Drosophila melanogaster: one gene and its partners. The gene in region 4 interacts genetically with the main gene of each other region. Each region holds a gene or a part of one and is shown on either strand. Other genes may lie near its edges.

Evidence for each region.
Region 1: of Orai (region 4) and Itpr, changing one suppresses a phenotype caused by changing the other (phenotypic suppression), as found in Drosophila melanogaster (one study listed by BioGRID).
Region 2: of Orai (region 4) and Rala, changing one suppresses a phenotype caused by changing the other (phenotypic suppression), as found in Drosophila melanogaster (one study listed by BioGRID).
Region 3: of Orai (region 4) and kn, changing one suppresses a phenotype caused by changing the other (phenotypic suppression), as found in Drosophila melanogaster (one study listed by BioGRID).

What each region holds. Positions count from the first base shown.
Region 1 is NT_033777.3:5,515,162-5,523,580, reverse strand, and holds the start of Itpr (inositol 1,4,5,-trisphosphate receptor), read right to left. Parts: upstream 6,465-8,419; 5' UTR 5,693-6,464; intron 1,283-5,692; exon of another isoform or gene 1,124-1,282; coding exon of another isoform or gene 923-1,123; exon of another isoform or gene 461-922; intron 403-460; exon of another isoform or gene 253-402; intron 1-252. Other genes in the region: CG43845 (uncharacterized protein), read left to right, coding at 923-1,123; Nmdar1 (NMDA receptor 1), read left to right, coding at 7,193-7,369, 7,441-7,563. UniProt on the Drosophila melanogaster protein: Receptor for inositol 1,4,5-trisphosphate, a second messenger that mediates the release of intracellular calcium. Together with MCU, has a role in oxidative stress-induced ER-mitochondria calcium transfer.
Region 2 is NC_004354.4:3,714,603-3,722,600, forward strand, and holds the start of Rala (Ras-like protein A), read right to left. Parts: upstream 5,034-7,998; 5' UTR 4,761-5,033; intron 2,066-4,760; exon of another isoform or gene 1,870-2,065; intron 1-1,869.
Region 3 is NT_033778.4:14,801,828-14,809,854, reverse strand, and holds the start of kn (knot), read left to right. Parts: upstream 1-2,793; coding exon 2,794-3,005; intron 3,006-8,027. Other genes in the region: hui (hase und igel), read right to left, coding at 1-269, 332-581, 1,212-1,272. UniProt on the Drosophila melanogaster protein: May act as a 'second-level regulator' of head patterning. Required for establishment of the PS(-1)/PS0 parasegmental border and formation of the intercalary segment.
Region 4 is NT_033778.4:17,847,131-17,855,348, forward strand, and holds the start of Orai (orai), read left to right. Parts: upstream 1-3,731; 5' UTR 3,732-3,967; coding exon of another isoform or gene 3,968-4,330; intron 4,331-6,164; exon of another isoform or gene 6,165-6,210; coding exon of another isoform or gene 6,211-7,131; exon of another isoform or gene 7,132-7,166; intron 7,167-8,009; 5' UTR 8,010-8,218. Other genes in the region: olf186-M, read left to right, coding at 302-1,066; CG30323 (uncharacterized protein), read left to right, coding at 6,211-7,131. UniProt on the Drosophila melanogaster protein: Pore-forming subunit of inward rectifying Ca(2+) release-activated Ca(2+) (CRAC) channels.

The DNA of each region.
Region 1 (8,419 bases), on a different chromosome or scaffold from region 4:
GCAGACGTCAATGTCGGCGCTGGCATCGCGGCAGCAGCGCAGCGGCCGCGCTGCGTGCGGCGGCAGTCAGCTGACCGAAATCGCGGGCGACGCCAAACAGCTGAGAGGCAAAGAGAGAGGGCCGCTCTCCGGGCAGAAGTTGTTTACATGTCACAGCGCAGGCGTGGCTCAGCTTTGGTCCAGCTTGGAAAGCTCCTTCGGGGAGCTTAAAGCACAAAAGTTAAGGAATTTTCGGAGGAGCCCAGACGATTTTTTTAGTAGACGAGCAACGCGCAAAGCGCCACGTTGTCCTTCACAGCCCCGGAAAAGCAAGGAAGGAAAAGCGGAAAAGCCAGGCGTCGCGTTGAGCGGGCGTCGAAAAGTAGGCAATACAGCTCTAGCTGCCTGCTGCCTGGTGCCACGGTGCGTATGCGAGATGTGATGCCAGTGAAATCCGATACGGAAAGCTCATTCTGAGCGAAAATTGTCAGTGAATCAAAATTAACAGATATTACGGAAATACCGCTAGTTCGACACAGTTTAAAACAACCAAAAATTGTCAGTGAAAACAGGGAAACAAAGGGATAAAAGTTCGTACCGTGTGCGTGTGATAAAAGTTCCCTCTCTGTGTGTGTGTGTGCGAGTGGGTCTGTGAGAGTGTATGTGCGCGCAAAAAGAATAGAGAAAGCAAAGCATCCCGAAGGAGTGGCACACAAAGTGTTTGCATAACTTAACTCGCGATAACCACCCACCAATAACTTGATTAAATGCCCCGAAATCTCGACGAAGGCAAGGACTGAAGAAATGGATATGCGGAAAGGACATCCACGGTGGTGAAGTAAAGCAATGAGTTTCAGGGCATGCCCGAGTCCGCAAGTGACCCCAAATAGTTTTCAGTGTGGCGTTCGTCAATTGAGGCGTGGTCGCGCCAATCCATTTTGTCATGGATTCCGTCCAGACAGCCCAGTGTATAGTGTGTTCCGTCGTCGTTTGCGTCCTGCTCATCATCGCGGGCTTCCTCATTTTCATCCTCAGTGTGTTTGCCTTTGCACCCCTCGTGGATAAGATGCAGCTCCGCCTTATAGAGGACATCAATGTGACCACCACGGAGAGGGATCCCATTCTCGATTACGACTATGGCTGAGCCGGAGGCAACACTTTCCCTGGACTTGTTCAGTTTTTTATTGAAGATTTCTCAAGATATTCTGCCTAAGGATTGACTTTGTACTCATTTTAAATATACTATTTTCCGTGTAGGTCAATTAGTGGATGAGTTATAAATACACGTGTGCAAGTGTCTCCTAATTAATATTTAATATGGTAATTGGTTACCATAGGATTATCTAGTATAAGACATACGATATACATATGTATGCTAAACACAGGTACATATATAATCAGTACAATGGATATACAGGATATACATCTAATCCTCAGAGGATACGAATATTCCGTTGAGCAAACAAAAATAATTCTCGAATCCTTTCCTTTGTTTGACCTACCTAAATCTAAATAGTTTTTCAAGCCCATCGAATTTTTGGGCATTAGGCACTTAAGCAACAATAAACCGAATGGGAAACTTCGGGGCAGTGAGCCACATCAATGTGCAATGCTTGAAATCATGCACAGAATGGCCCAAACCCGCCATGCTCCCACCTCGCCTCATGTCCGGACTGTCATCTAGCCGACGGATTGGGATCCAGTGGAGCAAGGCGGAATACGTACATCTGTTTCGCAATTCGTGTGTGAAAAATGCCCCCGAAAATTGCCTACGGAGAGATGCGGCAATGTACACAAAATATAAAATGGAAAATGGGAATCGCCCACAAAGCACCACGAATGTCGGAGCTGCGAGTCAGGCGGAGGAGGGACATCGTCGACTTGGTTATTGGCTTAGAATGCTTTCCCGGCTGAGCCGCACACACACGGCTGGACAACAATGAACAGTGAATGGGGAAAGTGGCAGGACGGGATTGGCATGGGCAGGAGCAAAAGGGATAAAGGTCACAGCAACAGGGCGTGAGTGCGAGGGAACGAGTCGGTTGAAGGGCGACAGAGTTTGGTTCAAAGTTTCGGGTCCTTTTGTCAAAGCTTTTGTCTGCGGTCGAGTCCTTGGAGAGTCCTCTGCCTGCCTGCTAGCCTGCTTTCCGGATCGCACATAAAACAATTCCCGTCTACGGAGGCCATATTAAATTATCTTGAATTGGCCAGCGGGAGAAATTACCGGACATCCGCCCGGCGACCTGATATTGCCCCAATTGAGCTCTAACCGCTTTACGGCGGAGTCAAACAATCTGAACCCCTCTTGCGGTTGCATTGGTTGTTCATTGGCAACTATTGCTGCTTGGAATCGCTACCTGTGTGCCTGTGCGGCTGGATCCCAGATTCGAAAACCACTGCAAATATTTCAGCGAGGCATCATCAAATGCGAGCCGCCGTTGAGCATGATGCTCTCATTGTTGTCAGCCTGTCAGTTCGAATTACGCTGAAGCCGGCGAAGCCACCGCCCGCGGTTCCACCCACTGCTCCATAGCCCTCCTTCGCTCCTCTATCATCAGCTCCATGCACCAGCGCCACATTCAATGGAGCCCGCAATCTGCAATCCCCGCATACGCTGCACTAACACGAAAATTGAATAAAATGCCATGGCCGGCACGTTCGCTATGTTAAATAGTTGAACAAAAACTCACGAGGGAAATTCTCCAAGGGCTCTGCCGACGTTGGAATGCCCTTTCAATTGAAAGAATTGAAATATCTTGCGTGCTTATATTATGCTAAATATTTTCTATTTACATTAGTTCGGCACGATTTCAAGTGGCTTGTTACTCCCAATTTTATTCGTTGATTTATAGAAGTAATCTTGCATTATACTATTTATGTAGAATTTATACTGCTTTCCCATAGAGACGTCAAATCGCGAATACCCTAACCCCTCAACTCAAAGTTCATTAACTGGCGTATTAATGGACATGCGAAAATTCGAATGGCGAGCAAATCGAAGTGTGAAATTCATAAGAAAACTTGTCGAAAGTATAACCCATGTCTGATGACATATATACCACGTTTTTTATATGTACATAGTATAGTTGATAGTATATATTGAATGTTTGTTCGATACGTTTCATTTGGGAATTTTGCTGCCCTTAACAAAACAGAGTGAGTGAGAGTAACAGCTTTCCTTGGGGAAATTCGGTGCGCTGTTCGTCCATCTGGATGCTGGGAGCTTTGAAACTGTGGGGGTTGATCAAATATTTATGGGGATTAATAGAATATGAGATCAGACGGACGGCGAAGTGAGAGTGAAGTGAGAATCCTTTAAGAACCATTTAACATGAGTAATGAGTAATGCAGGGCACATGTGCTGAGCGCGCCTTTCAACAATTTGGCCATTCATTAAAAGTCTGGGCCCTGTCTGGTGGCTCAAAGCAATTGAAAAGCCAAGAGACCTCGGCCCACCTGAGCAGAAAAAACGTGAAGCACACAGATACTCACACAATCACACCAGACTGGCGCTGATGAGAACACTTTGCTTCTCATCCAGTCTGCTTCATTGATAACACCCGACCTCCGCATCCGAACAAACACACACACACCCTTAATAATTGCAGCCAAGTGGGCTGTGCACATCGGATGGGCGGGGGGCGGGCGCTTATATTTTATTTGCAGCTCCAGAATGTCGCTTACACAATTTGCCTGTTTATGTTAATTGCTGGCGCTCCCAGGCGCCAACCCCGGCCACTTTACCGCCCCCCCTTCCACAAAATCCCCACCAGCTGCTCAATTCAGCTTCGAATTATGCACATGCTCATGGCAAGCCCACATAAATTGGAGCAAACACACGATTGTGGTCAAAAAAATAAGCATACCTGAGAATCTTCAATGTGTTTTATTTATTTAATGTAATATCTTTGTGGTCAGTTTGTTTAAATGGTGACAAGTGGCAAAACTGAACAAATTTGGCTGGTTGGTAAAATTTATTGATTAAAAATCATGCACAAACGTTATCAGTATGTCAAATGCAATTATACGACAACTTTTGGAGAATTATCAACTACAGTTGAGGGATTCTGAGAGAATAACAAAAACAAATTGTGAATTTTTTAACTCTTTATATTAAAATTGATGACATCTGAATCGTGGTTAAAGAGAAAATAGTTGTCAAGTTCCAACTTTTTTTTTTAAATATACATATATAATTGCACAAAAACATAATAATCAAAAAAATTTTAATACTATACCGAACTAGCGTTTAAAAATTAGAATATATATGTACATTTTCTAGCCGGTTGATCAAAGTACCCGCAAATGACATCTCAATTGACTGGTTATCTTCAATAAATGAAACTCACTGCACATACTATCTATTGGTCCCATTGATTGTATAATTTAGTAATTTGTTCGACATTATAATGTGAATATAATTGATCGTAATTGTGTGATCATAGGCCCATTAACCCAATCATGATTACATGCAAATCAAGAAGTAGTGAAGTGCGCTCTTTCAATCGCAACAAAAAAACTTGGCCAGAGAGGAATTTGGCGATGAAAAGCCATTTTTTTACCCCAGGTAATGGAAATCATCGCGTGCAGCAGGCTCAACACGTCCACTTTTCATCCCCCTCCCCCATCTTTTTTGGTATCCCTCATCTTGCCTCTTACTCTATAGCTCGCCACCTGCCCAGTCAACACCAACAACAATGTGGCGCTTAATTAAGCACGCGTCGCCCAGTCAGCATCTCTCTTTCTCTCTCTCCCTTTCGCTCTCTCTCTCTTTTCCGCTGTCTGCAATCAAGATGTGTGCACTGAGAGAAAATATCGGCGCTAAGTTGATTTTCTCGAACGCAGATGCATTCAGTTCAGAGGACGTCAAGTGAGAAATTTCCAAAAGTGATTTGCATAACTTTAGGAACTGACAAAGAAATATTAGGATTAAAAAAATCCAAACTTTTCTCGAAACTGTGGGCGTGACTGTTTTGAACGGTTTGTGGGCGTTAGAGTGGGCGCGGACGTTGTGAATTAAACTTGCACATCTAGATTTTATAGATCCCGAAATCTCGATCTGATCAATAATATATGTATCCGGTATACCCTTTCACTCTACGAGTAAATACGAGTTTTAATTATGACTATGTTACTTCGTCATTATAATTCTTAAACACTCCCATTTGAAGAATTTTTGTATAACAACAAACAATCCCTCTCACCACAAAACAATTTTGGAAAGCATCACGTTCATATACATAGTGGCTTGAGTTGAAATCAACACTTGACTTCGGAGTTGATTCCCTAAGGATTTATTTATATTTTGTTTGAGTAGCTGGCATAGAACCATACCCCCGATAAGCAAATGTCTTCAATCAGTGGGATTTATATGTTTTTTCCTTAGCTTTTCTATTCGTGTAAGCAACAAATAGTGGCCACTGCAACGTAATTGAATCTCAGCGCATTTCTGGCCCTTTCGCTTTGGCTTATTGTCAATTATTGAGCGAAAGCAAGAGGCAAGAACGAAATCAAAATCAAGTGGGATCAAAAGGCGAGGGCGTGACTGCTAGATAATAGCTATCGCGGTAATTAGCCTATCGGTTCGGTCGTGATAGGCTTATTGCCTTATGACCTACTTAAATTGGTGGCAAGCCCTTCGGGAAACCAGAAAAACCAGTAACTGGGCTCGATTGGCAACAGGTTGTCGTTGTCGTTGTCGTGGGATACTCACCGTAGAATGTATGTAATGTAAAATATCCCTTGTAGAGATGTGCTACTGTATTGTGATTGGTATTGAATCATCCGTCGATAGACGACGATCGTAAATCGAATTTGACTTTATATTTATTTTATTCAAATGCAAACACTCGCGGGCACTCGAAAGAACTTAATATATTTTCACCTTGAGTGGGCCGCACTTAGCCGCGGAAAAGAGAGAATAACAATAAGTGGGAATACGGTGAGGAGGAAGAAGAAGGCCCAGAAACCACACACAATAACAATAACAATGCCGGGGCAGCGACGTCGGCAGAGGAGGTTTTGTCAATAAGAAATAACCGTTAAAACACGCGACAAACAATTCCGGCTGCGGGAAAGAGAGGCAGCATGCGATACAACGTCAACAATCGGCTCTCCCGACCCCACGATCCCGTTGACCACCCACAAGCAGCGCAGTCGCAGCGCAGCAGCAGCGCGGGCAAACAAAACGATTGTCGATTTCTACGCACTTTTCCCAATCACGCACACACACCCACACACGCACGTCGCGTTTAGGCCAACAAATTGAAATTGGCCAGCATTTCGGGCATAAATTACGCGCTCAAGGCGTATGAAAATGCAATTTTCCAGAGCGCCGCGTCATGCGCGACTTCGTGTACCGTACCGCTCAGCTCCTCCGTCTCCCTCACTCCAACGAAGTGCCAGCGCAGCGCAGATAAGGCGGACCGACGCGGAAAACCCCAGCGAAAACACGTCCGACTGAAAGCGCGGTCGAGCAACAAGTGTTTAAAAACCGTCGAACCATATGATCGATTAGTGTGACCGCGCGAAAAATACTAGTTAGCCGTTAATAAATGGTGTAATTGACATCTTAACTGTTTTATGCACACATATATAGAATTATTGACAGTAACACGTTAATTGCATTTACTATTGACAAGGAATGACATAAGCAAGTGTTTGAAAACCGCAGAACCAACCATATGATAAATTAGATGGGAGCGCATGGATAAAATACTAACATACTCTAAATACTAGTTAGCATGGCAGCACAGGGTAGAGATTTGAATCTTATTCAAATATTCATAGTTTTTTAGTCATCTGTGCTTGAAAATTCCAGATCAATGTTGATAGATTGGCCGAGGATTAAAATCTTTCCACTCATCGACTCACATACTTAGATTTTGCTTCTAATGCCTATTAACACAATGAAATGGTCACTCTAACGATCTTGCGTTGGTATTCATTTTTTCGCGATCTGGCATTACCACATATGTAAGAAAACACCGCGAATTCAAAGTTCTGCTTTTTCAAAAATGAGCAAAATAAACTTTAAGAAATCTTGTCTTTGACCATTCTCATTGCTGCAATGGGAAATGGAAAATGCCATTAATATGCGGCATCTCCCCTTTTCGACTTGCAGAAAATGCTGGATGTTTGCTCGAGAAACCATTGAAATCGTTGCACAAAACACCTCGTTTATCCTCCCCCAGAAACTATAGACTTCCGCATCATGGCTATGGCTGAGTTTGTTTTTTGCCGGCCATTGTTTGGGCTCGCCATTGTTCTCCTGGTGGCGCCAATTGATGCCGCCCAGAGGCACACTGCCTCGGATAATCCCTCGACGTACAACATTGGCGGCGTACTGAGCAATTCCGACAGCGAGGAGCACTTTAGCACCACAATAAAGGCAAGCCCATTGACTAACTGGATGCTCCACTAATCCGAATGCGATAATCACGCTTTCCCATCCAACCGCAGCACCTCAACTTCGATCAGCAGTATGTGCCGCGGAAGGTCACCTACTACGACAAAACCATCCGCATGGACAAGAATCCCATCAAGACGGTCTTCAATGTGTGCGACAAGCTCATCGAGAATCGGGTAAGTCGGTGGCCAAATGCAATTACCTGCTCATTTCCGACCATTCCTCCATCGCTTGAAGCTGCTCACATACTCGTATCTGTGTTTAACCCGACCTGGTTCGATTCATTTCCATAATTTAAGGGGAAATGATTCGGAAATGGGATGATGACAAGCGGTAATGCGCCAGCAGAATCCAATATCCATGAGCTAACCAACTGGAGCTCTTAGAGCGAAAGAGTGCTTAAATGTGCAAATTGAACTATAATTATACAATATTACTTTAAATGCGTTTTGTTGTTATGAACCAGGTTTGCAGAATGATATATAGAAGGAGTTTGTAGGGGTTTGGTTATTAGAAAGCTAAGATTTATAATCATAATTATCTTTTTAATTATTGATGGTCTTTAGTTGAGCTAAGTGATTTACAATATTGTCTACTATTTGGCAACATTAAAGTATTATCGGTACTTATTTGTCACTTATTCTAAATAAAAATATATAATATTACAAACTGGGTACAAATGTAAAGAACCATTCAAATGAAATAAGTGATTTCATCGCACTGTACTCATGTACAATGAAGGAAATCACAAAACTGGATTCTTGTGCAATAAATTATCGCTGTTATGCACAAAAAGGTGTCCATAAAATCCTAATGACGAAGAGCACTTCGGCACTTAAAGTGCAATGCACCTTTCAGTGTGAGACTTCGTCACTTAAAGCTGAAACTCTTTTTGCCGGCAAACTTGTTGGCTTGCCATTTTGATTATCTTTGCTTTCCATCCATCACATTTCCCATATTATGCCACATTTATCATGAGCGTCTCTGTCGCTGTGGGATGCCATCCCAAGCAGAAGCCCACGCCCATTGGAC
Region 2 (7,998 bases), on a different chromosome or scaffold from region 4:
AAGGGGTAAATACTCATACAATATGTACATATACCAGTTGAGCAGTTTTGGGGCCGCCACTCCCATGTGATTTATAAAGATTTTCCAGTTTTTGATGACGTTTTTTTTTTTTTTTTTTTTTTAAACGTATGTAAACATTTGCGTATTTCGCCGGTGTCTCTCTTCAGATACTACACTTTTTAAATGCTTTATTATTTTTTTTGCGAATCGTTTTCCAGCTTTCGAATGCGTGTTGCGTGTGCTTCGTGAAATTCGTGTCAGAGTTCCATGTTTGCTCTGCTATATATATTTTTTCTTTGTTTTGCTAGTTCCATTTTCCAGCCTAACTGTTAAATTAATGAATTTATTTTCAGTTGATTTCAGTTTACTGTGGGCCTTGCTTGGCGTTGTTATGGCGTTGTTATTGTTATTGTTGTTGGTTGACTGCCCCCATGTTGTTGTGGTTTGTTGGCTATAACCTTGAGGCGATTTCGTGGTTAACGAAGTAACAGTTAGTGCAGAGAGAAAAATGCCGTCGATCAAACCACACTAATAATAATTATAAAAAAAACGAACAATTATTCATCCTATTTGGGCATACAATTTAAATATTAAAATTTTCCGTTTTTTCTTCATGTGCATTAAAACCACACTAATAATAATTATAAAAAAAACGAACAATTATTCATCCTATTTGGGCATACAATTTAAATATTAAAATTTTCCGTTTTTTTCTTCATGTGCATTAAAACAACTTGCCGTATTTATAGAGCGCTGAAAATGTTTATGGGAAACGCTGGAACGCTTTTATGGCCTCAAACCTAAAAATATTAAAAAAAAAAAACCAAAAAACCTATATATGTAAATTAGCCACGCCCCCTATTTTCTGCCAAGTTTGTTGCCCCTTTTTTTATGTGTTTTGATGCGCCATTGGCGGAATTTGCAACCAAGTGCAGCGCTTTTCCTTGTCGCCGCTTTTATCTCTTGTATTTCAATTCATTTACACTTTTTGTGCTGCATTCTGCAAAGCGAAGAGGCGTGATTTTGTGTAACTTCCGCACAAGATTAAGTTCAATAAACCGCCACATGTGCGAAAAAAAAAGAAGCGAAATCCACGCATATTATTGTCTCTGTCTGTTTTCCCCAACTTGTCATCGCAACTTCTATGACTTTGTGTGGGAATTTTGTGTTTCAGTCTTTTTATTCTAAATTTTTTTTTTTTTTCTGTGCTTTTTTTTGTACATCATTAAATGCAGGTCTGACTGAGATGGTTGTTGGAAGAGTAGAAGAGCACACAACAACGGAGCACAGAGTGCATTAATCAAGCAGAAAAGAAATCCCAGCGAGTGAACTTTTCTTACTTCATTGAGGAGATGGCTGCCATTCCGCCGTTAGATCAGTTCAATGCACTTTTGCGATTAGGGCAAATCACACTGACACAAAAACCCATGCATATGCATATATGTATAAAACGTGGAACGAAAGGCATCGACATTGGAATGCAATATTTTCCAGATGAGTCATAATGCATAATTATTTAAATCTGTGGCATTTAATCGACGATTTCAACGCCGCTGCGCAGTCGCGTGCAACGCTGTCAATGTCAAGTTGACAGGCAAATATGTTTTAAATGAAGTTGCATAGTAAGCATAATACAAACATTTATAAAAATTCTTGCATTTCAAGGACTTAAATGCCCAAATATATTTATTCGGATCGATATAGTGTTGATCAGTTGATATTAATCAGTATAGTATTGAAAAGCAAACAGTATTGATAAGACTGAAAATATTTCTAGATACTTTCTCATACTTTCTCAGCGTTATTCTCGTGATATGCGACTGGTTTCTGCGGCCCTGACACTTTGAACTTTTATACATTTTCACTTACCCCTGCCAGAAACTGCAGAGTATTTGTTAGCCTGAGAAAGTGTTGGGTAAAACTTGTTCATTTGATGTACATTTGTTACAACTTTCTTTGGACAAGCCGAGGAAAACTTGTCAAGCGAACTGCGTGGCTCAGACTCATTTACAAAGTGTTTTTATTTGGCCGAGCAAGTTTGATCTGCCTTTGCAGATAGCGATACCTAAAAAAAAAAAAAAAAAAAAAACTAAAAACTTATTTCACACCGAGTGGTATATGAAAAATAGGTACATATATGTACGAACAATGCGTGGGAAGTGTTTTCTGAAGCGAGGAGAGCATAATTAAAACCTAGGCATAGTCAGCTGTGATAAAAGATCTTGAAATGCGATGGAGCAACAACAAAAGCCATGGGGAAACACTTGAGAGCCTGGGCATAAAACAAATAAAACCTGTATAAGGCAAATGTGTTGAGAGAACTTTGGAGATGCTGATACGATGATGTAACAAACTAAAGTCAGCTAACAAATATGTGATTGCGCGCGCGACTTTGTCAAGAATCGTTTGTTGGAAGAAATCTCAAGATTTTCAAATGTTAAATGCTTTACAAACGGATATCGTAGATCGTTGGTAACGGGCGATTAATCATTTAATTGGAAAATAACAAAGTCATTACACGTATTTAATGCACAATTCATTGATAATCAGGTATATAAAACGTATTTTGAAGACATTCGGCAGACATATTTGGCCATTATGGACAATTATCATCAAGTGTGTATAACTTTTGCATTAGGCCAACATTATTATTCGTAGAAAACAAACTTTAATGTTGGCCATAATGGACTTGGCCTAGAAGAAACATAGAAATAGAACCCATTTCCGTGATTTGTCTCCCTTGACAAAACTCCATTAGAAGTGAAATTAGAGCAAATCACAGCTTGATGGCTATAAATTAGGCTAAGTTGGCCGACTTGCGCTATCTTCTCCCTTCTGGCCAAGTTAGCAAACATGCCGGAGATGCCGAACAAAAGATGAGAAAACTACATATATACCAAAAACTGTGTCACTGCGAAAGATCGTGAAGATTATGAGTCAGTGTTTTCAACTCTATTGTTAATCTATTCTCGCCTGCCAGAGAATTATATTTGAAAAGGTCAGAGGTGAAACAGCTAACAAATTGCTCGGCTATATCTTGCAAATAATGTAAGATTTTGTTTACACTTTTGATAACGATTAAATTTCTCTGGAATATGAATGGCTCATATTCTACAGACCGATCTGAAATCAAAACTGGTTTCGCATTTTGTAAATAATAAGGCAAACTACACAAAGAGCAGTTATTGATTATTTAAGCACTCAGTTTTAAAGGAACTGAGAACGCATTTTTTTTTGACATACTTCAGCTATTCACTTCCCCCCGTTCGCATTTCGTTCAATTGGTGAGAGCTTTTAACGCCCCTTGGCAACCAAACAAACAAACAAATAATTAGGAAATGTTGGTGAAAGGGGGAAAGGGGTCAACACATACGATTAAGTGAGTCATAGATAAATGAAATTATTCAATATAAAACAAGCTGGCACTCAAATTGATCTTGAACTTGAGCCTAATTAGAAACTGTAAAACCATTTTTCTGTGTCACGTTTTTCAGTTTTCCTCATTTGCTTTAGGCGTGTTGGATAAAAAGATGGAACATTCAGATGCGCATAAAGTTGAAGCGGATTAACTAACGATCACCATCATGATGATCTAACGCTAATGTCAAAATGGTTCTCCGATTAGCAACAGAACCCGAAAATCGGCACGTTCGTGGAGATAATGAGAAATGGGGAAAGGGAAAGATGGTAGCGGAAAACGGGTCACTGTGAGAAAATAACGCCACAGAGCGAATGCCATCAAAAGCGATCTCACAAAATAACAGAGATTAAAACCAGACACCGTTTCTGCGAATTTTCTTGCATTTCAAACGACAATTTTCGAGTGCCAAAGAAGGTTCTTAGAAATTCGAAATATGTGATTAATGAAGAAATGTGCTTAATAAACTTGTCATTTAAAAAAAAACTCAACTGTATTTAACTGTTGGTTAAATAATATTTGTATAATGTTAAATTATTACTAATACTTGGGAAAATTCGGCAAATGTTATTTAGAGCGGCGTAAACGAGATCCCAAAGCGGAATTGGGATAAAGAGAAGTTTAAAAAGCAAAGGGGCGATGGGGGCGTGTGCGTGCTTGCTTGTGTGTGTGTGTTTGTGTGTATGAGTCAACGCGCAAAATGCGGGCGGCGACTGCACCTTGCACACCCCGCAAAAAGAGAGGGCGATAAAGCAGGAGAGAGCGGCAGCGAGAGCGAGAGAGAATAAGGTCAAGCGGGGTGCGGCAACAAATATTTCTGCTGATAGCCGTTGATAAAAGGCTCTCGCCGCCCTTCTCCTTTTCTTTCTCTCTCTCTCTCTATCTCTCGCTCTCCGTGTGCTCATCAGTCCGCTCCTTTCCTTTATTTTGCTGAATGGAGCACACACACAAAAATGCCAAGCGCAATACCTTTTATTTAGTTTACATTTAAATATTCAACAAAGCAAATAGCAGCAGAAAGATTTCACTGCTGAGTTTTTTTTTCACCTCTTGCTTTGCTCACACACATATACACACACACACACACACATCCACTTTCTTCGACGTCGACTGCAACGCCGGCAGCGGCGCCTTTTGGCGGCTTTTACAAATTTTGTTTATGAAACAAAAAACCCCTGTGTATATTCCTTTCTGGGATTTCATCGGTGTATACACCCAGATAAAAAGAAAGAATCTTTCCACACGGCAGACATCATGAAGAACAACATACGAAATATGCGTAATCACTCTATAATGCTTTAGCTGTAAATGCTTTTGCTTCTCTTTCCTCCTTTTTGCGTACTTCGTTTTCTTCCTTCCTTTTTATTGTATTTTGCGCGTCCGCTTTGGCCTGTCGCTTCGTTTGTTGTTGCTTTGCTGTGTTATCTCGCACTTGATGCACTAAACTAAACAAAAAAGTTACAGGCGCGATCGGAGAATCGGCAACTGATGAATTAACAGGATCGGAACGCAACAGTAAATTGGCTGCTTTTCGGTTTCTCTTCTCGTTCGCCGCACACCGCAATTAAAGTTCCGTTGGTTTTGCTTGCTTGAAAGAAACTAGTGTGAAAGTGGAAAAATACCACAGAGGTGCACCAATGTGACCGCTCTGCCATCGATCAATTATACCAAGCACAAGCATCACTAAGAATAACACAAAAATACCAATAAGTTCCGTCTTATATTGAGGTGGGTGTGATCGCTAAGGCTGGTGGGTGTACTCGCTTTGCTGGTTGATGTACTCGATAGGCGAGCGAGCGAGTTGTGCACTCGCTGGCGAGCGGTTTAAGTATCCGATAACTATGGTTGGTGCACACGCTAAGTAACAAGTGACCGCTAAACTGCTACTTTAACAGACACAACTGTGCATGTTAAGCGCACTCATCGTTCCGCCAGATGGCTTCTTTGCACACTCGTTTCGGTATTTTTTTTACACCAACTTACAGTATATTTTTAGGCCATTTCTGCGTGTGTGCGTTCGTGTGAATATTGTGAATATTTTTTTTACTGTGAAAATAGACAAAAATCGGCTGTGGAAAACCGAAGTAAACACATTTGGGAATCATGGCGATTGGCCCTTAACCTTAACCCTTAAGTGTCGTGCCGACAGTGCCACGCCACAAACCCAAATCCCAAAGAAACAAAAGCGAAAGAAAAAAAAAAAAGAACAACAAAAAGCTATAGTTGCAGCCTCTGAAAGTTTAAGACAATCGCCGATCCGATCGGAAGCGGAAGATATATGCTCGCCACACCAAATGGCATGGTAAACACCTCTCGTTCCTCTAAATGTGATGTCGATGTCGGAAAAGCCGTAGAAATCGTACAATTCCTAAAATCGCAAACTTAACCTCGCAGCGTTGTGTGCAAAAACGGAGAGGGGTGGGGGGGAAACAACGGAAAAAAAAGGCAACGCAAAGCAAAGCAAACGAAAAGCGAAGCGTGTGCGAGCGAGAGGCGAGTGAATAGCATTGTTGTTATTGTTGTAGTGACTTTTATTTTATCTCAGCCGGCGATTTAATTCTCTCGCACTCACACATATTCACGCGAATAAAAGTAAATTCAAATAAATACACTCGCAAAAACAAATTGGCACCGGTAACAATTCAAAAAAACTTATGCACATGTGTGTATGTGTGTGTGTGTGTGTGTGTGTGCACTTAGGAGCAGTTGGAGGCGTGGCATGTGTGTATGCCAATTAGTACGGCTAGTTGTTGGGTCGTTCATTTTGCTCCTTCCCGCTATCAGACTCGCTCTTTGCCCTGCATTTTCTCGCCGAGTGCAAAAGGAAAATAACAAAAAACCTCACTCCAATTGGAGATTCGAGATGCCGATCTCTAAAGCGCAGGCAGGGCAACAACAAAAGCGCCAAGAAGAAGACGGAAAAGGGAAAGATTCGAACTAAAACCTATTGGGATTTCATCTTGGAACATTAACCCTTAGGCGGGCTGAAATGTTGTTTAAATCATATTGAGAAATTTCCCAATAAAAGCGTATTGCATTTAAAAGGATGCCAAGTTTTTCAATTATACAAGTGTAGTTTATGAGCGTGTTTTTAATGAAATACCTAAACATGGCCAGGTTTTGGCAAAACCTCTGCTTGCATTCAATTATAGCACACACAATTATTTCACTGAAACTCAATTGATAATACAATACATATTTGGTAATTTCTTGTTTGCTGCTATGAGCAAAACAAAAACGTTGATAAGATGAAATGCCTTTAGATAGGGGCCTTTATATAAGCCACACAGTGCGTGCTAAAAATATGCATGTGGCAAATTAGTGATATTAAATTGTTATTTATTAATTTTTTCAGATGAATTTGTCACTTTATTATTGCCATGGCTCTGACAAATCTTGTCGCACTCGTTGCCGACATTTGCAATCGATCAATATTAAAATATTGAATAACTAAACCAACCACGAGCTAAAAGAAAAATTTCAGAAAAACTTTTGTATCTGAATCGAAAACAAAAAAAAAAACAAATTCCTATCGGCGCTTATAATCACAAAGTAATGGATCAATTTCAAACTTCACTAAATCCGCGGAAACTCGAGCTTCTGGAGTCTCGAATTACTGGAGTGCGGGTAAGTGCGAATGATATTGTAGAATTTATATTTATTTATTTATATGAACAAATACAAAGTATGTTATTTTTTATGTAATGCCTGGGCTATTTTGCTTCTTTTCAATTTGGTTCGCCATTATTGAGTTGGCCCCCTTATTCGCCCCCCAAATTCTCGCTGTGTATGACGTCGCATAGATCGCCGCGATTGGCTGTCAATGGGCTGGCCCCTGGGGCCGTCGAAGGGTTAATGGCAAACGGTTATTGCACTTTGGAACTTTTCTTGTTTCGTCGAGATGCACATGCAGATGCAGTTGTTGTTGCAGATGCTTTTCCGAAGTTTTTGCCCCTTAATGTTTTCTTTTTTGCACTTCTTTCTTGGCTTTGTGCCGCTTTGAAGCGCAAGAGGAGGTATGAAAATGTGGAAAAAAGCGAAAATAAATTAGCATCGGCGGATGGGTGAAGAGAGAATAAGAGAAACAGAGAAATTGGGAGGAAAATGGGTAAAATTGTTGGGATAATGCAAAGATGTGGTTGTGTGTGTGTGTGTTTCTGTGATGGGCGTTGGGGGGGGGGGGGGGTGTGGAGTTTGTTGGGGGAAGATGTGGTATGGTAGCCACCCAACCCTTGTTCACCACCCCACCCCTTTATTACACCCACTTCTGAGCTGCTCTTCTATGGCGCACACACCAAAACAAATCGCCCAGGCAGTTTGTATTCAATTCATATTGAAAGCAACTCAATGACCCTAACTCAAGGGTTTTTTTTTTTAATTTAGAGCCTTATTGTACCTTGGACTACAGCTCAGAATATATTTGTGGATTCGATTTGATTCAATAGCATGGTGTCACCCTTTTTTTGTCAGTGTAGGACTTAATCGCAGCACTACCACAGACGCACACATGGTCCTCACCTTGTCGCTGCAGCATGTTGTTGTTGTTGTCAACATTTCGTCACACACACACACACACAAGC
Region 3 (8,027 bases), 3.0 Mb from region 4:
TCTTGATATTGAGAACGCCGTTGGAATCGGTGGCACCCTGGATGTTGGTCACCTTCTGGTTGCCACTGGCATCGACAACGGCCACGGTCTGCTGGATTTGGGTGGCGGGAATGGGTCCAACTCCGGAGATGTGCTGATAGCTACCGGTGCTTCCTACTCCGCTGTTGCTGCTGATGGAGGCTGCGCTGGTGTAGCCATTGTAGGTGGGATAATAGTTGTCGCCTCCAGTTAAGGAGCTCTCGCCGAAACGCTCATCAAAGGACACACCACTGGAAATTAAAACGATCATTAGTGATCATCAATAGAAGTCCTCATTTTCCAGTTAACTCACCCAAGCACTGGAGCAGCGGCCTGCTGGGTGTAAGAGGAGCCAGAATGACCGGAGCCATCGGCATTCTGAACGCTGTGTGAGGCGTAGGTGAAGACGTTTCCTCCACTGGAGGACGAGGAGGATGATGACGAGGAAGACGAACTGGACTGACGACGCAGACGCCTCAGGAGATGGGCATTCACGGGATGGACATTCGACTGGTGGCCCTCCGAGTCCAAGGTGAAGAAGGCACGGGGCAGAAACTGGCCAGCTGTATGAATAAAGAGCAATGAATTCAGCGATAAGTATCTGAAATCTATGAATATAGCTTTAAAGCTTAGATTTCGTTCACATCTCGCCCTTATTTACCACGATTAAATATTTTATGAACTTTTACTATTGAATTTATTTTTAATATTATGAAAACCTTTGAATAATTACATATACTTAGCATATATACCATGCAGATTTATTCCAAGTTTTTTATGATAATGCTAATCCCAAAAGTATGCTTATAAATCTCAAACATTCAACAATGGCAATTTCTTTTTTGAGTGTGAAAGTTTGTCCACTCAGCGATCGCGTGAATAATCAAACGTAATGCTGATTTTGAATAGCCATATTTTAGGAATCGTAATAAAAAGCGAATTTGTTGTGCGGAAAGTTTTGCTGGACAAACATTGTCGCAAAGTTAATGAGCTACGCGAATTTCACAAACCAGTTTGGGTTTCCGGATGGGTTCGATAGGTTTTTGGGTATTATTAACATACTAGCACCCGTCGACCGACTTGTTAATTCAATTAATAATAAACACGATAGCAGCTCCGACTAGCGATGATGTAAGTGCACAATCCGGCTTAAGCTCTCCTCAAATTATACTCAAATTTGCTTTTTTGCTCACCGGAAGAGGCCGAAGCGGTAGTAATCGCAAACAAAGCGATGGCAATCACAGCGTACTTCATTGTGAAGCGGTATGGATCTGTAAGAACACACACTTCGTCACTTAGTAGGGTTAATTCAGCGGTTAGGGGTATGCAGAGGGGCCTATCTGCGGTTAAGCACTCACAAAGACGAAACGAAAGACTGAGGCAGCGAACGCGTGAAAAGTTCCAAAACGACTAAGCTCGCGGTGCGGCTCCCTAGCGCTTATATATGGAAATTTCGAATGCTGACGCAGTGCGAACCATCTACATCATTATCATCTAAAGCTGGAAGAACAAGCAGAAGCCGTCAAACAGGCAGAAGAGTTGGGCAAATAACTCCACCGGTAGGTAGACTGAACAATAAACAAATACAGAAAAAAAAACAAGAGGCAGGCATTTAAAGTTTCTTAAAACCTCTGGCTGTGGCTCATAAACGTAAAGTTAGGCTCAATGATTCATAAGGTTAAATACTATCACATCTCTCAGTTAATTTCCCCTCTCTGCAGCAGAGTTTATCTCACATATAAATCCACCCAAAAAGTTAATGATTATGGGAAATAAACACATGACGAAGCAGCGAAGCGCCAACGGGGAATTTCTGTTCTGTTTGTTTTCACTTTATTTGTATTTCGCATTATATATTCGAACGCCAAACTGTTTTGGCCAGCTCGTGTAAATTGGCCAAGTGCCCTCGCTTTTTCTTATTGTACTTTTTTTGTACCCAGTCTGCGCCTTGAGCTCTGCTTTTGACCCGATTCGTGTTTTTGGCAATAAAGAACTTCTCGAACTTCTTCTCTTGGGCTTGGGGCAATAACCTGATTACAACGTGGCCAACACCTAACAAACGGAGTTTCAGAGAAATATTATGCATTATACATACATTGCCGATCATAAAGCTAAACTATATATACTCATTTGTTTAATGGCTGGCATGCGTCCACTAATTATAATATTTTGTGAATTTTAATAATATTATGCCTCGCTCGGTTTTACCGCTCCATCTGTTTGAAACAAAACTGGTTTTGATGGGATTTTCGATTGATCTTGCTCGACGAAATGAAAACAAATTTTGTTATTTAATTTTACATTATCATATATGTATATTCCAGGAAATCCTTTCAATTAACCGGTTATTTGGGGATTATTGTTTTTAATTGCCTAAAATAAATCTAAGGCTTTGATCAATCAAGAAATAATTGAAGACAAGTTGTGCAACACAAATTATATTGCATATACACATTTTGCACGTTTTGCTGATAGAAGTAGGGTATTTCTAACAAGTACAATTAAATAGACATATGTACTTTTTTCAGTAAAATATTACCAATTTTTCACGCACTACTTAAGCCAATCTACCACCTTAATTCCGTTTTTTTTCTTTTGAACACATGAAAAAATTCAATTCCTTAGATTTATATTAATCTAATTGAAATCCACAAATTTGTTGCCATTTGTTGTGCAGAAGTATTTTTGAATTTCGCACACGTTCGTTGGCAAAAATATGTACAAATATTGAATACGAAAAAGTCAAGGAAAAATTCCATTCTTTTTCTCGCAAAAATGGTGACAGAGCAAAATGCTGACCGCCGCCTACTAGGAAAAATAATCCCCAGCCGATTTGAACGATTTATTATTTGGCCCAGCCAACTCGGAGCCTGTCCCGGAATACCCGGAACCATTAATCATCCGAGTCCAGATCCAAGTCCGAGTCCGAGTGGTGGACAGGCGGCATTGCAATTGGTGGACATTTTGGAGTGGAAGAAACTTTTGCGGTACGTGGCAACGTGTTGAAATTACAAAATGTGTTAAAAAATGAAAGAGCAGGGCGGGTAAAAAGCAAAATAATATATTTCATTCACACACAGACTTTTGTCTCTGCTCCGCCGTCCATATAAAAAACATAAATTTCCTTTGAGAATAGAACTTCTGGGATGGAGAGGGGGGGGGGGGGGTGCAAGGTGATTATGTTTGACAGCCGACTTGGGACACGAAGCACCGCCCCCTTTTTCATCGCCAAACAGGACATGGGTATTAGATCCTGGCCAAAGTGCCAAAACTGGCCTCACTTTCCGTCTGATTTACGGCCAACTATTTTGTTTAAATTTTTACCACTTCCCTGCTATCGACACTCAACTTAAAACATATAAAACCAACTATTTAAAGAGCAAATAAAGTTCAATTTGATTTTCTTTGGCCTTCGTTAATAATTTTCCTGCATCTCTCTGGGGATCAGCGAAAAATATGAATTATTGAAACAGCTGAAGGAAATAATATAACCAAATCGGAAGGCCAAATCTGTTTAATGTTTCAGATATGTTGGTGTGGGTTGACCAAATGACAATATGCTTTTTAGCTTCAACCTCCCTCAAGCGAAATTGATTTTCATGGTTTTTCTGTTTTTTCGCCTAAAAATACACAAAAGAGTCGAAAAAATTTGACTGTGATTGTCACTTGAATGTGTGGGTTGGGAAAACCACTCCAAATCCACTTCACCAAATATGTCAGTATGGAATCACGAACCTCGCTTGATTTCTCCAGTGATTTTTCGCAATCAGCCTGATGAGGATGTGCCGAGAACGTTGCTCATGGAGGCAGTGCTATGATTAGTATCCTTTCAGCCAGGTCAAAAGTGACGCTGCCGCATGCCAAGTGGCCTCGGCCAAATGAAACTTTAATGCGAAACAAGGACAAAAGGCTGAAAGAAGGCTGCCTGATGAACTACGTGATGGTCAGACAAATTGAAGTTACACTGGAAAATAATTAGCTAATTTCCTAGTTTGCTTAGGTTAAGGGATTAAGTAAGAATGTGTTTAAAGGACTCTTTTATAGGTAACTTGTTACTCTAAAGAAAACTTATCCACAGAATAGATGTGCTATTTTATCGCAGTGTATGTGGATAGTCAACGACAAAGTGAAATGCATTGAGGTTGGTGGCGAACAAACGCGACCTGAATCGCGAATTGGAATAGCCAGCCTACTCCGCCCCCTCAGGATATATAGCTACTTCGACTAGCATATGCGCCAGATAGTATAGCTGGCGTATCAATTTCGATAATGTACTTGGACCGCGAGTATCTTTATTATCCTGACTGCTGTGCAATTATTTCCGACTGCTTTACTGTCGTACCGCTTTTCCGAGTCCTGGGAAACGCAAACAAAGGATATTTCGCGCACACGCCTCGGACATGATTGCATCCGGGCAGGAAGCATTGCGTCGTGTCCTTTTTGCATCCTTACATCGTCGCTTCCTTCCTGCCGATCAGAACCCCTGGCTGCTTTTCATCCGCAATTTTCACGCCCACTTTGTTTGATGATGACAAATCTCGTTGCGTGTTATCAGATTGGCCAACTTTCCGTTGCTATTCCCCCTCGTATTGCATAATTATGTTTATCTTTGGAAGCTGCGCTCCTGCCACGTGTCCTTGCGTTTTGGTTAGCTTCCTGCGATTTTGCTCGGAACGAGTGGCACGTGCTAATCGGCGGTCGTCTGCACCGCCCATGCAACCAGCCACCCCCCCTGGTAAGTGCAACCCCGCCTAACATGTCCGATAATTGAAATCGCTAAGCTGAACAACGGAATCGAAATGGCTTCATTAATCAGGTCACTTCGATGGCAGCGCATAATGTTCTTCAAAAATTTGAATTGGGGGCGGTTGAAAAGAGGAAATTGGTCTATATAGCACTTAGCGCGATTGAATTTGCTCATTTTGTGTTACCTAATTGGGGAAAAGATGTTTCGGTTATTAATCATGAGTGATACTTACTATTGTATTACAAAAATGGTGCATATATCAGAAGATATATATTATTAATAGATCTTAAGGAGCATTTGTATCCATTCACCAAAATATGGTAAAAATAAAGCTTAAATTAAATTTGCTCATTTACCTTTAAGGACATCCTTTGCTTAATGAGTGCACTCATGCCCACACCCACTCGCAACCGAATGAGTGTCGCCCTGCGGACGCATAAATTATAAATAAAAGCCTCACACACGTGGAGAAAGAGAGGTGTATATAACCTTAGAGAGAGAGAGAGAGGGAGAGCTACAGTCTGAGGCCAAGAAGTGTGCTAAATATTTAAGTACTTAAAACCATAAACCTGAGTATTTATAAATTGGCTTTAACAAGCTCGTATGTGACGGTGGTTGGGTGTGTGTCTGTGGGCTGACCCTTTTTTCGGGCACAAGGATCTGCTCGACTCGATTCCATTCATTAGAAATGCTCACTAATGTGCCCGACTTAATAATAATCAAATTTATATGCATGGTTATGTCCTTTAGAGCAGGACCACAAAACTGAAGTTTCGAGTGGATTGCGAATGGGATTGGCTGTTAAGTTTACGGAGAAACCTTTGAGAATGAGACGAAGATAATATGTCAATATCCTTGTTTTCCAAAATGTCTGACCAAAAGTGCAGATGTCCAGTATCGAAACACGCCCAAGACCGGTACCGTTATTCTGCTACCAGTTTTCTTGTTTGTTTTTGTTTGTTAGCCAGCTTGTTTGTGGCCGACACTGAGACCAAAAAGGCCAAAAAGGTCGCCCCCTCGGGATTTCCTTAGTCCTGCTGCCAGCTTCTTCCTTCCACATTCTTTTTGGGGGTCCGATGAGATTTGAAAATTTCACAAAAATTAATTAGGAATGCTGGCATCCATGTTGTGATAGGCTAGTTCTTTTCTAGCCTAGCAACATTTTTGATGTGACTAAAGAGAATCATCTTTATGGCCACACCCGGAATACTCATTCTTCAAACAACAAGCGACAATAAAAACAAATTACAATTGCAACAATGGCAGCGGCAGCAAAACATTTGAGACATTTTCCCCACACACACACACAGACACACACATACTTCAGTTAAATGAACATTTGCAGGACCTAGATATTTATTTATTACAGGGGTTGCACTGCAGGAGCATTAACCCCTTACTGCCCACGGCAGTCTCGAGCAACGGAGGACTGAAAAAATTGAAATAAATTACCAAAACTAAAGGCAACAACTGTTCGCATAATGAAGTCAAATTATATTTGTGCCTAAGTGCACTGAGAGAAATTTAATATAACCTATGATTTACACGATCGATTTTCGATCTTTGCAACATTTTTTGAGTGAAACTAGGAAACCCTTTACAAGCGAGATCTTGCAGTTCTTTAGTTTCTAAGCATTATTCTAGTATTTTAAAATATATTTTCCTTTGTTCTGGTCTTAATTTATTATAACTAATGAATATTTTCCGTCTGTGTATTCGGAAAAGGGGGAGTTGGAACATATAAAGATGGGGTGCAGAAAAGATGATCAGGGAAGGTGTGAGTGGTTCAAACTAGCTGGGCGTTTGGATAGCGAAGGGTGCGTCCTTTGCTGGTCCTTCGAATTATGCAAATCGTCTGCACTTCAGATACTACTACCCCTACAAAAAAAAAAAACGAAGAGAAAACCCCCTACAAACAAACGTATTAGTGTCATCGAGCATTTGCCAAGCCATTTCATTGACACGTAGAACACCTTTTTCGTCCACTTCGTATGATGTTATCATTTAATTCTTGGGGAATTAACACGGACATTGTCAACCGTAAATGAGCTAATTAATCTAGTAAATGTGTCGCAGCTCATTCCACAATTTCTCTACTACTTGAGAGCGAGGAGTGGGTTCGCGTTTTTGTGGTTCTCCAGAGGATCCCCAATGCTGACACGCTTCTCCAGGTGGCCGAGGAGTGGGAAATGGAAAATGGGCAGGGTTTGCCCCTCGGGGAGCTGCACTAAAACCCCAAATGAGATGCATGAATTCCTCTTCGCCGACAAGCAGCTCATAAAAGTTAACATCGAAGTATTTACAGCATATTTTGGGGAAACTTCAACTTGGAATTTGATTAAATGCAAACTACTTGAAAACATACAACTTCAAATCAAGTATGTACAATTTTAAATCAAGTAGATCTCTTTGAATTTATTGATTTGCTTAACCAACTTAAGTTTCCTTAACTTCTCTTATTTTTGTGTATTTTGGCTAACTATTTTTGGCCACAAATCGATCTTTGGTCGCGCCAAAGTTAATGAACCAACCGCACTTTTCCAATCTCGCATTTGATGCGTTGGATTCCACATATTTGGCCAGACTGAAAAATAATTTCATGTTTATGGCCACGTTGTTTTCACCGGCCACAAAAATGCTTATCGAACGCCGGAGATCGCCAAGCGAGAGACTTGTAAATATTTATGATTTTTTGCGATTTTTATTCGACTGATAAACGAGTTTTTCCCATCGCACAGTTGCGATGTGCGAAAATGTTTTGTGGGAAGAAATTGTGCACCTAGCCCATACGATTCGATTCACCTTCTGTTTGTTGGAATAATAAATCTGTAGAAAGGTTGTTGTATTTTTAGAAGACTCCATCCCCCTTTGTTATTCTTATGTAAACGAAACCTTTTTCCTACACACATAGCTGCATAGTAAGTTACCCTCATGAGAACGTTTAGGCCGTGAATATTGGGTAAATATTTAAACTGGTTGCGATTGTTTTGGCAAAATCGTTGCAGTTGGTCAAACACGTGTTTGAGATAATTTAATTAAATTTACTTGGCTTTTTTAACCCGTGCCACGTGCCACTCGAGTCCAGTTTGCTGCCCTCGAAATGGAGTGGCAAACACTTGAGCACTTGCTTTAAAAATGCGGCAAGTGCATTTGGGTTGGGTGGGTAGTTTAGCTTGGTTTTGGCTGGCTGGTGAAAATTCCTAGGAATCGAAAACTTTGGTGGTCTTCGGACGGCAGACAATGCAACAATGTCATACGTACT
Region 4 (8,218 bases):
AAAAACAAAAAGCAAAAAAACAATTTAGCTAAATAACAACAAATAACACAAATTGTCATCGCTTTTGTTATTTCGAATACGATACTTGCGCACACGCATTTGAAATTAAAGGCCCTGATTCTGGCCATTACCAAATATGTCCAAAAGCCGAGCTTGAATCGAGATCGCGGCGAGTCGAGCAGCAGCTAGCTTGTAACCCGAGCAGCCGTGACCACAGAAAACTCATTGCAGATACTAGATATCCGCACAGTAGATATACATACATACATATATAACCCACTATCCATATATACCGTACGCCATGGAACGTTCGCACAGCTGTAGCAATTTCGAGGGCAGGACGGGAGCCAAGGTCATCGTTGGCGCAGTGGAGCAATTGGCCGGCAGCAGTGAGCACCTGCCCAGCGTCCACTTTCCGCCCAGCAAGCCGCTGCGCAGGCGCAGAAAATTGCAGCGACAGCAGAGTGCCGTCGATACGGATGACATGGAATATGCCGCCGATCTGGAGGAGAATGCCGATCCGGATGCACATGAGCATATGTCGCCCGTCGTCACCATGCCCATGCGCCATATATCTGCCACCAGTACGCGTTGCCTGCGCCACGAGGAGTCCTTTGAGTCATCCAGCACGGCGCCCGAACTGAGTCCGCAGGCGCAGAGGCAACAGCGCTTCAGTAGTCTGCTCCTGCGTGACAGCTCCGTATCCGTGCAGTCGGACTCGAGTCGATATTCCAGCGTGGACAGCTTGCTGGAGGCACGCAAGCCAGATCCCGAGGCCATACTCATCAACCTGGGCTTTGGACCGCTCAGCTCCGAGGATATGCTGTCGCGGATACCGCGGAGGTTTCTGAAGCCCTCGCAAGTGCCTGGCATCGATACGGATGCCTTTGTGCAAAGACTGACTCTGGCGCGATCCCTGGCCGATTCGAGTGTTCTGGGCTATAGGGGTCTAACCGGAAATCCGGACATGCCGCCCTCCTCAATTGTGGCCAGCATTATGAAGCGATTCGAGGTCAATCATCATAGGAAAAACTCCATGGGCTCCATTAAGCCCAGCATACAATAGAGCCCTTTGAATTCTTAGCCATACAACATAAGATAGTCAGCCAAATAGAGGACTTTCGCTTACGTTAATTGTTGCCAAGCGGGGTTATGGGTGACCTTTGACCTGTGACCCATGTGATCATCTTGTCTTGTCCATTAGTCATTACAAGTGCCGCGTACTTAGCTGTTTAACTGTACTATTGTATTATTATCAACTATTGTGAACTTGTTTTAAGCATGTATTAAAGATGATATTTTATGAGACATTTTAAGCATTTGGCGTTTCTGTTTCTTATATTTATGATTATGGTTTTATTCTAAGGCGGCAGGTTTAAAGGCCTACAATTTACATAAAACATGAGCAGATTGCGGTCTGCAGCAGATGTTTATTTACAAAACAAAACAATAGCTTAAGCATTCCAGTTTCAAAAGATACGTACGAATCGATTGAGAATGTTCACGTTTCCAAGAAAATAAACCAGAAGTTTCCATTTCAAACACAATACGCAATAATTGCCGTTCAGTTAAGGGGACTTTGTAACTGGTCAAAAGTTACACAGAGTATTTAATTAAGCAGAGCTTTCCCGCGTTATATAATTAGCACCAATAAAAACATTTAAGGTAAACAAGATTTCAAGAGTATTTCAAGTATTATTTGAGTTCGCTTCCAAGAAATCGCCGTTTCTCCAAACTCTCGACTTCAAAATGCGAAATGTGCGTCACAATTCATTTTCGATGATTGTTTATGTACATATGTATGTACATACATATATTGTAGTTGAACAAATCTATTTGCGATATAAGTACATATTTACATACATCTTAGTACACCCGAAGTTCACAGACACACATTCATGGTGTTGGCATTGTTTGTGATTTTTTTGTTTTTCTTCTTATCTAAAGTCGGTTTCTGAGCGAAGTTTTATTAATAGCCAAATGACTTGGCATCTTGAGTCGCTTGCCCCAAGCGGGGGAAACAATAAATATGTACTTAAATGTACATAAATCGGGTACAGCTGGGAATTGAAAGACCCATAAGGGATTACAAAGTCTGCGGCACTCGGATCGCTTATTGATTTCAATTGCCCGCAATTGTTTACATTCACAAGTCAAGATTCAAATTCAAGACGTGCTAACCACGGGAGCAGGGCATGCAAAAATATTGTTTGCTCCACATGTGTATTATTATTATTATTATTATTGGGCCCTAACCCCTCTCGCTGACCCGCTTATTCGGATGCCAAACAAATATGGTATAGCCGCCTGATAACCGATAATGGCATTTGCGCACATTTGTAACACCTTCAAGGCGACGCACGGTTCACAAGGAATTTCTAATACGTCCGCATACAGCTACGGACAGACGTATAGGTTAAGTTAGGGAATATCGATGATATTTATAATTCATTTGAATAACCTTTTTTTTTCCAGCAAACCGTTTTGTTAAAAGTTAGTGTGAAGGATAATTTTATAGTTACAACACTATCGTTTAAAAAACTTTTAGATCTTTTTTCAGTTCTACTTGTTGGTTTCCTTGAAACTGTTGTATTTTGCCGAAAGAGATTTTAGTTATGGGTGCAGAAAAGTATGCACTAAAAATATAGCTCAAAATTCTAATCAGAACTGCTTATGTTAAAAGCCATCATTATTCTTTATAGACTAAAATAATATTTGTAACCTATAATCTTTTTTTTTGAGATTTTTATAAACAAAGAAGATATTGAAAACATTTACCACTTAACATTCCATTCCTGCAGGTGTTTTACAATAATATAAATTTTGTTTTTAAAGAGTGTTTTTTAGCCTGCAGAGCTAACATTTATAGATTATCATGTCATGCGGCGTTAATTATGAGTTTTTTAAGAAGATTTGTATATCGGTCATTTATGGTTTAGCCCCTATTATTTTGGCCGCGACTGTTACTATGCATACATGGATATATGGATGTACATACTTACATACGTGAGTGCTCGCGCTTTGGGCATATCCAATAGATAACGGTTCTAGGTCTGTTCATCGGCACATGACTCGCTTTAAATTAATTAAAATTAATTCCCAAAGCAAACCACAGAACAAGCAAAGAATAAGGGGTGGAAAAGCGAAGAAAGCCACTTGCGAAACTGTGGGTGTGAATATTAGAAGACTGACAGAGAAGGCGAATAGCACAGTTATGCGAGAACCATACCGCACTCCTCGCACTCATTCAAAATTTGCAAGTTCAAGGCGGATAACAAAAAAAAAGCACAGAAAGAGTAGCGACAGATGCAATGTGCATACACATATATGTAAATGCGTATGTACATATGTTAGTACACGGGCAGACCAAGAATAAAATAATTGAGGACTACGCCGGAAGAATGTGAAAGAAAATTAGCAAACCAAAACGGCAAGAGAGCTGTTTTTGCAAGAGCAAGAAATAGGAAAAGAACCGAACAACTGCTATCGGCAATTTGAAATGTGTGTCAGGGCGTAAAGTTCTGCAAACGATTTGATTAATTTATGTGACTTAGGGGGCGTATGATTAATTAGCCTGTGTCGCTTACCAATTACTAAATATAAAATCACTAACACAGTAAGCCACAAATATTTCGATCTCACAGAAATTTGGCGCCTTTTGCTTTAAAATATCGGTAACAGCTGATGGCAGGGCTGGCAGCACTAGTGCAATCGATAGATCGATATGTTGGCGTCACGCGTTAGGTCATTTCATACATGCACACAAGTAAAGCATCGAAATGCTGTTGAATTAATTTGTTTTTTGTTTAGTTTACTTTCAAACCTCGCCGATCGTACTTAATTAGCACCTTATATTTGCGACGTGTCGAATTGCCTAACTTATTTTGTTACTCTTTTGCTTGCCTGTTTTTCCGTGCACCATGGCAGACGTACTTAAATCCGCAGGAGAAATCGCTAGCCAAAAATCATGTCTGTGTGGACCACGGCCAACAATTCGGGCCTAGAGACGCCAACAAAGTCGCCGATCACGTCGTCGGTTCCGCGGGCAGCGAGAAGTTCTGCAGTGATCACCACTGGAAATCACCAGCAGCACCACTTCCAGCACGTTGTGGCCGCCGCCGTTGCAGCCGCCACTTCAGTGGCCACCGGTCATCAGTTCCAGCAACAGTTCCCGCTGCACGCACATCCGCATCCACAGCACCACAGCAACAGTCCCACGGGTAGCGGCAGCAACAGCAACAACAGCGCAGGTTTCCAGCGCACCAGCATCAGCAACTCGCTGCTGCAGTTCCCGCCGCCCCCGCCCCCTTCCTCACAGAACCAGGCGAAGGTAAGTCCAATAACAAATCAATTCCCCAATCTCCTATCTCTGTCTACCAGAACTTTCCCCACTCCCACGACCCCAATCTTAAAGCGATGCTATGGAAGCTGCTCTCTCGCAACTCTCTCTATCTCTCTGTTTCCACCTTCTCCACTCACTATCTCTCTCACACGCTGACAATGGGCGCATTCAGCAGTTTAATCACGGCTCTGTGATCATGTAAGCTGTGATCGGTGATCGGTCACGAGATTTATATCATATAAAATGTAGATCGACTTTTAAGATTATTTAGTAAAAATTCAGAAGGAATTTCAATCATGAAACTTATTTACCGTACTCATGCCATTAATTAGTTTACTTTTTAATATTCTCTTTTGTGTGATTACCGTTAGAAAATTTCCCAATCAAAATAAAGCGAAGAAAGCGCAATGACATTTGCTGAGTGGGCTGCCAGATTTAATATGTACATTCTACATAATTTAGCTGAAGCTATATTTAGGTGTCTAAAAACGATATAAAAAGGACATAAACTAATTTGTTGTACAACAAGTATTATTTGTTAGTCAGTTGGCCGAAATGAGAATGCCAATATTTGGTATAAAAACTTTCAAGTTTGCTGTCTGTCGATAGTGATTGAAAACAATAAACTTTTATTAAAATTAGTTATTTGAAACACGGTCGATTAACATTTTTCAGTGAGTAAGTCGGATATATATTTATATATTTTACGAATCCTCGTATATTTGCGAAAATATGTTCTTCCGAAAACGGTGATAAATAAATCGGACTTCTAATCGCTGAGTCCCATTATAAATCACGTATTACTCATATCCCCGAATTCGCGAGACTCTGCTGAATGCGCCCGTTTGATTAAGCCACGCAATCTGACACATAAACACGGCCTACGTTTCAAGTCGAACCAGATCACACAGACACTCGAAAGTACACACACAACGCAACGCACATGCATACGTATAAATCACAGGTATGACGACTGAGTTAACTGCCAAACCTGCTGAATTATTGAACAGTGTTGTTTTTGGCGAACAGCACTGACAATGAAATTGCAAATGGTCATGGAAATATTGTAGAACCCGGCGTCTAATTGGCTCCAAGAGTTGTACGTTTCTCTTATCGCGTCTGCTGTTCTTTTGTTTGTTCGCTATTTTTTATTTTGTTTTATTTAACCGGCGATAATAAATACACGCACCCACCCATCGAGCTGCAAAGAAATGGAGGTGCTTCTTGGGTCGGCGTCTCTGAAATCCAGGTGTGTGTTTGCATACGAATTTTGCCAGTGAAAATGAAACAACAACCGCCAGCTGACACCTTCTGTTTTTTGTGCTGCTTTATCGGCTGGGACTTATGTCTTATGTATTTTTACTCACATTTTTTAAGTGGTTACATTTTGTTTATTCTGGAGGAAACGCAAGCAAACTGGTTCCATTTGACAGGCCAAGTTATTATTAACATTAGCCAGATTCGTATTTGTTTATGGCCAAAAAAGGAAGGCACTTTCCATCTCGATGGATTCAGTTGTATCGACTTGTTTGGTTTCCCTGCGATCAGCTATATTAAATTTTAGTTTAATAATTTTTTGTACATTTGTGTTGGTTTTCAATTTCAACAGCATGATCCTCGTGCCATATGTTTTCCATAAAAATGCGATAAAAGATAGAGAAAACAATTGTGTTTATTTGTTCAATAGTTTTTCGACGTTTCAAAAGAGTATGCAAAAACTGCTGCTTGGACCATAGAACTTGTATTAAAAGTTTAGAGAATAGTAATTCTTGTATAAATTCCCACAAAAACTAAGTTGCTGTTGATTACTTTGTCAACTTTATCTGTAAAAAAAAAGCTATTCATATGTACCATCCGCCTTATTTGGGATGCAGTTCCTCCTCCTGCTTCTTCTGACCTCATCTGCGTATTCAAATGAAGGGAAGAAGGGGCTTCAGAGGAACCTCTACGTAACGGACAATTATCACCAGAATGTGGTGTCTATACGAACGCGCAAACACATTCGCCATTGGGGTGATAACCACTTCTGTGCCGGCTCTCTGCTCTCCGCCTGGTGGGTCGTCACCTCCGGCTGTTGTGTGAGCACCAGGCCGGAGAGCACCCCAAACCAGCCGAGTAATCGCAAGAATCTAAGGGTTGTCGTCTTCACGCCCAAGCGATTGAAAAAGCCATCTCCCAAGAACATATACCACGTGCAGAAGATTGTGTTGGACGAGTCCGCCATAAGTGGGTGCACAGAATTGGCTCTGCTGAAGCTGGATCGCGGCGTTACTGGCCAAAGGTTTGCCATGATGCTGCCGGAAAAGGAGTTGAATAGCACTTGGCTTTGCAACTCTCTCGGATGGGGCAGGATTTACTACGTAAGTTATGTATATATATCTGCGATGTGCCCCGCATTCAGCATGGTGTATGATAACCCAGTTACTTGGTTCCAGGACGGACCCTACTCAAGCGAGCTTATTCAAATCAGAGCTCAAAAGATTTCGGAGTATGAGTGCAAGCCTGACTGCAGCAGATGCCTGTGCATGACTAGCTATACGGGCAGGGGCAATATGTGCCAGCAGGACTTGGGCAGTCCACTCTTTTGCGATCACTTCCTGTACGGCGTGGCGCGTCGGGTGCACACCTGCGATGATGAGGGCTTCATGTTTTACACCAATATCTATCAAAACCGCAAATTTATCGAGGACACCTTGAGTGGCGCAACCTGGCCAAAAAGAGTCCTATGTTTTCGTCTACTTCTACTTCTACTGGTGTTAGCGTCGCTTTCGGTAGTTTCATCTGATTGAATATGATATTTCAAACAGGAAAGCACAGGATACATTCTACATATTTAAAGGACTATATACAGTAGATCTCAAAATATCTATAATGAAGTACTGACTCATTTTTTTTTAAATAGTTTCTGACTTCAGTTTAATAATGTCAATAAGCGGTGTTACCACCTACTCGTACTCTTGTCGTAGGATATTGACCCACAATATGGTTTTTTAGAGCATTGTGTCCGTGAATTCGAGTGACTTTTCGTCTGTGAATTGGATCTTGATTGAATCTCGATAGTTGAAGTTCAGGGTCGTCGTGTGTGCGTGTGTTTAATCACTCGATTTGTCTTCCCCATTCATCAGTTTGATGATCGCTGATCGATTGCCAAAAGTAGCAGCAGACACTAGCCCCTAGCCCTTACCAACCGCCCCGTTTCCCCTTCTCACCCACTCACCTTGTTACTTTTTGTTTTCCTGTAGTTTTGGTTTCGCCTCTTTCGATTCTTTTACTGTCTGGTAGCTAGCTCTCTTTCCGTTTCTATTCCTTACCCACTCTCTCTTTAAACGCTTTCATTGAAATGGTTGTTTTGTACAGTGCAACTTCACTAACCCGAACTTTTGCTAGTCCTACTGAATAACTATAATTAAAAAAAAATCTTACCAATGAAAATTAGTATATTATTAGAAGCATTTTTTTTTAAATTACAAAATTATTTTTAAAGTAGTTTATATTTGTTGTATCTTTTGGCGTATTTCGTTGTTTTCTTTTAATTTTCGGTAAATGTATCTATATTTCTTCTGTCGTAGATTGTTATGTTTTTATATAAGTTCGTTGCTTGGGAGGCTTTACTGTCATAGTTCGATTGCCATTATAGTAGCTGTTGTTGTTTTTTGTGTCATCGCAGGCAGGCCGCACCGTTCAAATTGATTGTCGAATTTGAATATACGTCGTCGTCGCCGCCGCTCACCGCCGGTGCTTACCGCTCTGGGCAGAGCCGCCGTATCAGTTAGTTGTTAACTTGCCATCGCCGAAGGAACAAGAGGCGCTAAAAGCGAAACGCGGACGCTGAAATGAAATCGAATCGAATGTGCACCGCGCACCTGAATTAAATTC